Caenorhabditis elegans: one gene and its partner. The protein of the gene in region 1 interacts with the protein of each later gene in a pairwise test. Each region holds a gene or a part of one and is shown on either strand. Other genes may lie near its edges.

Region 1 (5,136 bases):
AGACCGATGAAGTGTTCTCCTGAAGATTCAAGTCCGATTGCAGTTGTATTTTCAACATCCCCAGTAACTTCAGATTCTTTATTTTCAGAGAATTCTTTCTCCGGTGGATCTTCCTGTACAGAATCTTTCAAGTTCTCTCCAGAATCCTCCAAACCGATGACAGCTGCTGTTTCCAATACATAACTCTCACAATTGTCAATCTGACCTTCTTCATGTTCTAGATCCGTACCGATAAAGTTGTCTCCAGAAGATTCAAGGCCAATCGCCTCTGGAGATGCATTTTCCGCATCTTCCGGAATCACAGAACTGTCAATATCAGAAGATGTCAAATTTTTCTCATGAGCAGCGACAATCTCTGCAAGACCAGAATCCTCAAGCCCAATCGTTTCTCTTTGAACAATTTCCGTTACATCATCCTGTTTGATATCTGCGCTCTCACCAGTTTCATCAACATTTCCAGATGCATCGTGTTCTTTAAGTTCAGAAAATTCTTGATCTTCTGAAGATTTCAACTGTGATTGTTTCACTTCATCTCCAGAATCCTCCAACCCAATGACATCCAATTCTGAACTTTCAATCCCTTTGATGGGCTCTGGCTGCTGTTCTGGATCCGTACCAATAAAATTGTCTCCCGAACATTCAAGTCCGATTGGGGTTATATTTTCAGCAATTTCGGTCACTTCAGAAACTTTATTTTCAGAAAGTTCTTGGTTTGTTACAGTTTCCAATGCTGGTTCTTTCAAAATATCTCCAGATTCTTCCAACCCAATGACTTCTTGGGTTACTAATTCGGAGCTCTCAGAACCTTTAATTTGTTCTGTGCCCTTTTCTGGATCGGTACCAATGAAGTTGTCTCCAGACGATTCAAGTCTAATTGGGGTTGTAATTTCAGCAATTTCAGTCATTTCAGATTCTTTATTATTGAAGTTTTCTTGATCTGGTGCAGTTTCAAGTAAAGGATCTTTCAAAATATCTCGAGATTCTTCCAACCCAATGACTGCTGGGGCTTTAAAACTTGAAGTTTCCTCAACCGCTTCTTTTTGAGATTGTTCAGCTCCTGCATTTTGCTCGATGCCTGCGTTCTCTCCAGATTCTACAAGATCGATTGCTTCCGGATTCTTAGATTCTCCAACTTCTTCGTTCAAATTTTCTGCGGTATTTTCAGAAACTTCAGTCACTTCAGGCTCTTTAATTTTCGAGAATTCTTGATTTGATGCTGTTTCCAGTGCATGCTTATTTATAATATCTTCAGAATCTTCCAATCCGAAGACTGCTGGGGCTTCGAAAGTCGAAGTTTCCACAACCCCATCAGCAGAGCTTTGAGGTTCCAAATCACTTTTAGAAGTAGAATCATACTCTTGATTATCTTGAGTAGGTCCAATTTCTGCAACATATTCTTGTGTTTCTTGGATTATTGGTATAACACCACCTTCATCCTCAAGACCAATGAAGACATGCTGAACATCCGTATTAATTGTATCTTTTTCGGATTCCAAGTCCGCAGAATAATTTCGAATTATTTGCAATTTTTCGGCTGCATCTTTGAGAACATCAGATACAGAGGAATCCTCAATTTCATAATTGTCTCCTGTTGGAGTTGGCGTCTTAGAGTCCACAGATTTTACAAACGAATTTTGGAAAGTTTCTTCCTCAGGATCATCATCCAAATCATCCAAAGTGTCATTGGAAGTCAACTTAACTCTTTCGATAAAGTCTCTTGCACCTTCTCCAGCATTCGCTTCTAGGACTGTAGTGAATGACTCAGTTTCAGTCTGTTCATCTTTTTCAACTGGTTTAAATGTAAATTCAGTAAGTTCAGCAACATCTGTAACTTCTTCCACAACGTTATCTAGTTCTTCAGATGGTGGAATGTCCTCAAAAGTAATGGTTTCCTGAGAATCAATACTCACATCTTCCATCATTGGAATTGTATAAACCAATTCAAATCGACGATCAGTTGGCTCACGGAACAAAAGATCCACTTCGACTTCCTCATCCTCAAATTCCAATTCATCCAGGTTGATTTCGGCACTTTTTGAAATGGTGTAAGCTAATTCCATTTCTGAATTCTTTGGCTGACGGAACAGTAAATCAGTTTGCACATTTTCTTCTTCTTCTTCAAAAACTTCATCATCAAGAGGTTCATTGAGAATATCGTCAGGAAGTTGTTCAACTTCCGAATGAGAACAAGAGGACCCACCGGACTCTGACTCAGGAGTTTGAAGGGGTTGAAGAGCAAGTGGCTGGAGGGATTTTGGCTCATGCTCAGATGTTGGCTCGTTTGTGGAATTTGTCTCCTCTGAAATGACAAAAAGATTTTCCAAGGAAATTTAAGAATATTATTTTTTCTAAGTGAAAGACCTTGACAAAGCATTAATCTCGACCTTTTAAATTTTGATTTTTAATTATTTCAGTGTTTTTTTGCTTTATTTTTGAGACCTATAAATGCTCCAAAAGCTCTTTTCCGATATTTTAATATGGGTTTTCGAATTTGATTTTCAGATTTTTTTCCGAAATATATCGGAATCCAAACAATTTCCACATAATTTTGTCGACTTTTTTACCTTTTTATCTTTTTAAATTTTTTTTTATCTTTTTTAATGCCTAAAAACTATTTTTTGAATCATTTTTGCGGGATGTCTAGAAATAAACTGAAAAAATCAAAAACAAAAATTTCAGAGGTAGATATCGGATATGTGCCTACTTGGATACGTGGAACATTTATTAAAGTTTTTTTTCAGAAATTTTAAGTTAAAAAAGTTATATAATGCTTTTTCTTATGAACTTCAAAATTTTCAAAATTCACAAAAAAAACTAGCAAGAGATACAATCTATTAGAAATCAAGCTTTTTCAATTTTTTTTTTTCAAACTGCATTTTTACAAACTAAATTTAAAAAAAATATGAAAAAACACTCACCTTTCGGGTCAATCCAAATTGTCTTAACCAACTCAAAATTTGTGATCTCCGGTGGTTTTCGAAAGAAAAGTTCCACATCGACATTTTCAGCGTTCATTTCGTTTTCAGCATCCATGAAGTGGTGTTTTTCGTGACAAAATTTTTTGGAGCTCACAAAAATGTGCTGACACGAGATGAAGGGACCCCGAGGAGTTCACCATGTGATTGTATACCCTGCGTCTCCGCACAGGTACATGATATTTCTGCGGGGACAGCTGCCGTCTCACCGCAGGTGATGAGCATTTTTGCTTTCTCTCGGGGTTTTCGATCATCTCGCTCTTTTGTGCTATTTTGTTTTTCTTTTTGTTGTTGCCCTCTGTCTTCTTCTCTTTCATCTCATTCATCTCTTTTTCAGCTCAAACAGAGATCCAAGTCATACGTTTCAAATGACAATAGGGGAAAGATGGGGGTGTCAGTGATAAGCTCAAAATCATGGTGGCTTCAAAATTATTTAAAGGAAAGCACTTAAAAATCTCATGAAATGCCTGCCCATGAAAGAGAAACAGTTTTTTTTTCTGTTCTCGAAGGTTTCGAAATTAGTTTTTTCAGCTTCCTTTTATTGACCGATAAATCTTGCATGGCGGTCTGTTCACCTGTTTAAATATTATGTTGAAATCAAAACAGAGCGACCGTGTTTTGGAAAACACGCAGAGAAGCACGAATGTGAATAAGAAAAAGTCGATCTCAAATTTCTACGTCATTTGTTCAAACGCATATTGACTTATTTAACAGCCACTTAATTTTTTTCGAATTCACTGCTGATTTTATAGTGCTTATTGGCAAAGGAAATATTTTTTGAAAAAAAGTTCCAATAACTGACTTATTTTTGAATTTTTTCTGACATTCAAATTTAAATTCAATTAAAATTCTGAAACTGCCAAAACAACAATATATTTTTAACATTACAAATTTATTAAATTTTTTTTCAAATTCACATAATCCAAAACAATCGTTTATGTTGAAACCCGTTATAAAAAACCATTTTCTGGTTGATTTAAAAAATGACTTTCAAATTTATGAGCCGCGAAAATTTAAAATTGGCACATCTTGATTGTAAATAAATCTTGCAATTTTTAGTGGTAATTGCACTATAGAAGATATTTTGAACAATTCTCCTACTGACGTTTCTCTTTTTAAAAAAATGAGCCAAGATATAAGCTCACAAAAAAAGAAGCAGTACTAGTAGTAACAATATTGAAAATTTAGAAAGTCTGACATCTGAAAAAGCGAAAATAAATATAGCAATATGCAATTTGTCTCGTTTTTCCATGTTATCAATTGATATCAACTCATATGTTCATGGAAAGAGTGTGGTGAGTGACGTAAGCAAACAAACAAAATTGTTTTTATTTCCATAACCTCTATTTTGAAAACTTCCAACTGTTTCCATTCCCCCAGTTACAGTCAATTGTCAATCTATAACATACAAAAATGCCAGTTTATATTAGATACGCAGACAGCTAGAACATTTAAAGCACGTGCTGTGTCGGCTGTTCAGATGTAAGAGGGGCATCTGTTGTTAATCGTAAATCACATTGACAGGTAGGTCAGAGAGTTTTGATGACGTGGATTGGGGGAGAGGGTTGGGTTTCAGAGTTTTTTGTCAGAAAAAAGTTTTGGAAAAGAAGAAAGAAGTTGATCGAGTAACTTGAGAAAGTTGTGAAATGAAATTTTGAGAAAAAAAAATGAAAATGAAACAAAAAACAAAATAAAAAAAAAGATCGAGAGAAGATAGATAATTCTGCCAATAGAAAAGAAGATAGAAACCTAATGGCAGGTAATTAATTATATCAAGTCTAAATGAATCATTTCCAAAAAAAGGAAGTTGTCAGTATAAACTTAGTTTGAAGTAACAAAACGGAACATTCATATTTGGAATTCATGAAAGAGTTGACGGCATGTCAGAAAAGTTGGAGAACGTCAGGAAAAATTGGGAACTCAGCATTGTTAGAATTGCACCGTAAATATGGAAAATTATTTTTTATAGTGCTCAAAAATTGAACACAAATTGCACAAGAAATGTCTCAAAACAAAAAAAAACGTTTCTAAATAATTTATTAATTTTTTATTAAAAAAATCGCTCAAAATTTATCTGAATTTTAACTCTGAAATTACGCTGAAACTTCTCAAAAATTTTCCAAAAATTTTTGAAATCTTATTTTTTTAATGTGCAAAACTT
Region 2 (3,887 bases), on another chromosome or scaffold:
GAACTGAAATTTTTTATATACGCTTGAAAGTTTAGAAAATTTAAACTCACTTTTGCAACTGATTTGAGACAGGGATAAACAATTTTTGAAGTGTTTTGTTGAAGAATGATTCGAAAATTCGAGCAAGGACATGTCCAATTTTCAACTTTTACTATTAGAACTTACGAAAAAAAAATTTTAAAAAATTCCAAGAAAAATTCCGAATGTCCATTTCTGAACATCCTAAAAATTATCAAAAATCTGAAAATTTCACAGTTGGAGCCTTTACGGGTCTAGAAAATTGTGAAAAAATGCACTGAAACATTTTCAGAGCGACTGTTTTCCAAAGTGCTCCTCTGTCGCTAAATTATTTGTAGAAGGCCTAGCCAGAAGGCTTTTTTCAAATGCCATAAGTTTCAGTCAGAAGCCCTGTATTAAGTTGAAATACTTCCCTTGGTAGACGCACAAACCAAATTTAACAACGAGGCCTCTTGAATTTTCACCAATATTTTATGGATGTTCAAAACTTTAAAATAAAACCGTGCAAACTTTTTTAAAAGAAATCTCATTATGCAACTTGGTTCTGTGGAGTTGTCACAGTTCATATTTGAAATATCGCAAATTTCCACATTTTGAAACTTTTTTGAAACAATTCAATATTACAGAAAAAACATTTTATGCTTGCTTTTGAACAAATACAACTACAATTCGTCATTGGAATAAGGCACATGATAAACGTGGGCTTTGAGTAATGCATAAGAAAAATATGTGAATAAATAAATAATAATTGATTAATTAAATCAATTATCATCTAAAGTCACTTCCTTCTCCTCTTTCGGCTCATTCGTCGTCACATCAGCAGTGGCCGCCTCGTACACCTTCTTAAGCTCCGGAACAATCTCCTCCTTTGTGAATTCGGATGCGGCCTCGTACTTCTCTGCAACCCATTCTCGGATGTTCTTGTGGGTTTCCGGGTCCTGAAGCTTCTCCTTGTACTCGTTGAACTTGTCACGGATTGCTGGAGACGCCGTCTCCTTGAACCATCCGGCGGCATTGTTCAGACCTCCGCTGACCTGCAAGAACGGAAATTCAGAGTTTGCGATGTAATTTTTTGTTTTTGAGAAAAGCTTTGGCAAATAATTCTCAAAACGCTAAGGCACTTAGAGGCATAGGCTGAGGGCAAAAAGGCTTAGCTCTGTAGGCAGGTACATCGTTGCAGATTTTTAATGTTGAAATTACATTATCTACCTGACTGATATAAGCGTCTTTATGATTGTTATAGAAGTTGGTGAGCTTCTCCATCTCGAATTTTGGTCAGATTTTGAAAAAGAAATTCAAAAATAATTGTTTTTTTGTTAAAAAAATACGTGATTGAAAAGTTAGAGAATCCAAAAAAATCCGAAGGCCACGTAAAAATTGAGCGAATTTTTAAATTCTTAAACATTTAGTTACAAAAGTTTGGCACGTGGCTTTTTGTAGGCTTGCCTGTCTATGCCTGCCTTGCCTTTTGGAAATTGTCCAAATCAGTGGGAAGTTAGAAGTAAGTATTAGAACGACCAGACACAAAAAAAAAAGATGGGCAGGCACATAGGCAAGCAGACATAAAGCTTTTTCTTAACCTACCGTATCAGTGAACCCGTCCCACCAATCGGCTTGCACAGAACTGGCGAGCAAAAGTGTGATCAAAAGTGTAAAGACGACTGGACGCATTTTGTGGAGAGTCTGAAAATTTTAAAATTTTAAACTTTATATTTTATTAATGAAAACGAAAAGAGAAAAAGCAGCAGTGTTGCCAGAGTGTCTACAATTCTGGAGAAAAACTGAAATTATATAGTGCTGAGAGGATGAGTCATGTGAAAACGGGGGCCGTTATCATTTTTTATTTGGTGAAAAATTGAGTGAGTGGGCATCATGATCATAACATATTTAACATTTTCTCTTGGCGGCACAAGGAAAGAGCGTAAGAAATTTCTGGGCATTTCTGGAAATTTCAGAAAATTTCAAAGTGGGACATTTTCCAAATAAGAAACGAAGGTCTTGCTAGGCTAGGCAAGTGCAAACTTATGAGAAACAGGAAATAGTAGTTTGATATGCAAATATGTGGGCCCATCACTTCACTTCCTGTTCACCCCCCTTGTTCAATACTATCGACAAACATATCAAATATCACATAACTTTTTCTGAGTAGCGACTCAAAACTAGGTATTCTGTCACTAAAAATAACTCAGGAATACGTTCCAAATTAAAATAATGAGCAAGAGCTTTCAATACAAAACATTGCTCATACCTGAGGCTCAGGAAAAAGAGCAAAGAATTACTGGAGCATTTCTCGTGACTTTGAGAAGCTTCGTCGACAACTTTAGTGTACAAAAATCACAAGGAGGAACTTAGCCAGAGAGATGAAAAAACAATGTGTTTCAAACTATAAAATGTATTCTGAGATGAGTCATTTTTGCTGGCTGTAAAGATAGTTTAGTTTAGTTAATCGTTATTCTCAATTAATGGGAACCGTTAATCATTTTCGAAATTAAAAAAAGGAGTTACGGATCAAAAATGTTTTGCAAAACATACATATTTGTGGAAATTTTTAAAATTAAATTATTGCCATTCTTTATACATATCGTACTACTCAGACATGTACTACGCAGATTTAGATTGTTTTTTTCCAAAGTAGTCAAAAAAAAATAAGGCCAAGAATTTAGCTGAACTGATTTTTTTGGAAACTTTCAATTGCCGTAATTTGTTATTTATGAGTGTATTCAATCAAGAAGAAATTATATTTTATTTTACCAGTTCACAAACTGAGCTACCAAAACGAAATTAAAGACAAGTGAAATACACTTAATGACGCCATAAAATATATTTTGATACATGTCACAAAATTGCATGACTAACCCTATTATTATTTTTAAATATTAAGCTGAATGTAAATTTTATAAATTCAAATGTCTTAAAGAAAAAACCTACATTGAAAGAAAAAGAAGCCTTTTTGAATGAAAATAGGATGAGTCACGGTTTGTTGGCATTAACAATACCAGCAATGTATGCCAAAAAACCTGATCAGAAACTGGCTTTTGGAAAGGAATTTTAGAATTATTTTTTGCAGAAAGATACATTTTGCATTTTCAATTCAAAAAAAACTTGCTTAAAAACCAAAAACGGGGGTTCTCAAAACAAAATGTTTCTATAGAAGTTTGTGTGACTCAGTTATGGAGGTGCAAACTGAGTTCGATTTTGAAATTTTTGTATTTTGAAAAAACTTGATCAACACATCCTAACCTAATTCAAAAAAAAATGTTCCATCAATTCAAAACGGCAAAAAAAATCAGAAAATTTGAGCGTAGTTTTCAGAGAATCTAATGATCGATAGATTTTTCTTATTTTTCTGAACTGGAATTTTTGTAACATTTTTTTCCAATTTTTTGAAACTACTTTATTTTAGACTCTCACAAGCGTAAATTGTTGAAATTTCTCGTTTTTTCGTTGTTATGTAGTTAAATTTTTGCGTTTTCGGAATTTGAAAAGTTCGGGGGCTGTTATTTGACTGCTTTAAAATAATTTTTTAATCCAAAATATAATTTAAAATATACTTTAAAACTACTATCAAGATAGTGACTCTTATAAAAATCATCTAAAAAAGATATCAAAAAGCCTTTTCTCGCCGTCAAAATTGACTTTTCTCATCCAAAAGGACAGGTTTTTTTGCGATTCCCGATGATGAGGCATACGTTCCGCTTTGATCATCGCTCTAAACACACATCATACTAAGCGCAATTTAATCGGTTTAAAATATGATTTTGCAACAAAAAAACAATGAAATTATGAAAATTATTTTTTCAGTTTATCCAGAATACCAACAGTTTGAAGATTGCATGCAGGTAGTGAAAATTTATTGAAAAAATTGTAAA

What was found.
Region 2: the proteins of ret-1 (region 1) and K02B7.3 interact in a two-hybrid assay, tested with the Caenorhabditis elegans proteins (one large-scale study listed by BioGRID).

The regions. Positions count from the first base shown.
Region 1 is NC_003283.11:14,844,298-14,849,433, forward strand, and holds the start of ret-1 (Reticulon-like protein), read right to left. Parts: upstream 3,016-5,136; coding exon 2,919-3,015; intron 2,300-2,918; coding exon 1-2,299.
Region 2 is NC_003280.10:14,693,597-14,697,483, forward strand, and holds K02B7.3 (DUF148 domain-containing protein), read right to left. Parts: upstream 1,706-3,887; 5' UTR 1,690-1,705; coding exon 1,603-1,689; intron 1,321-1,602; exon of another isoform or gene 1,282-1,320; coding exon of another isoform or gene 1,228-1,281; intron 1,053-1,227; coding exon 780-1,052; 3' UTR 596-779; downstream 1-595.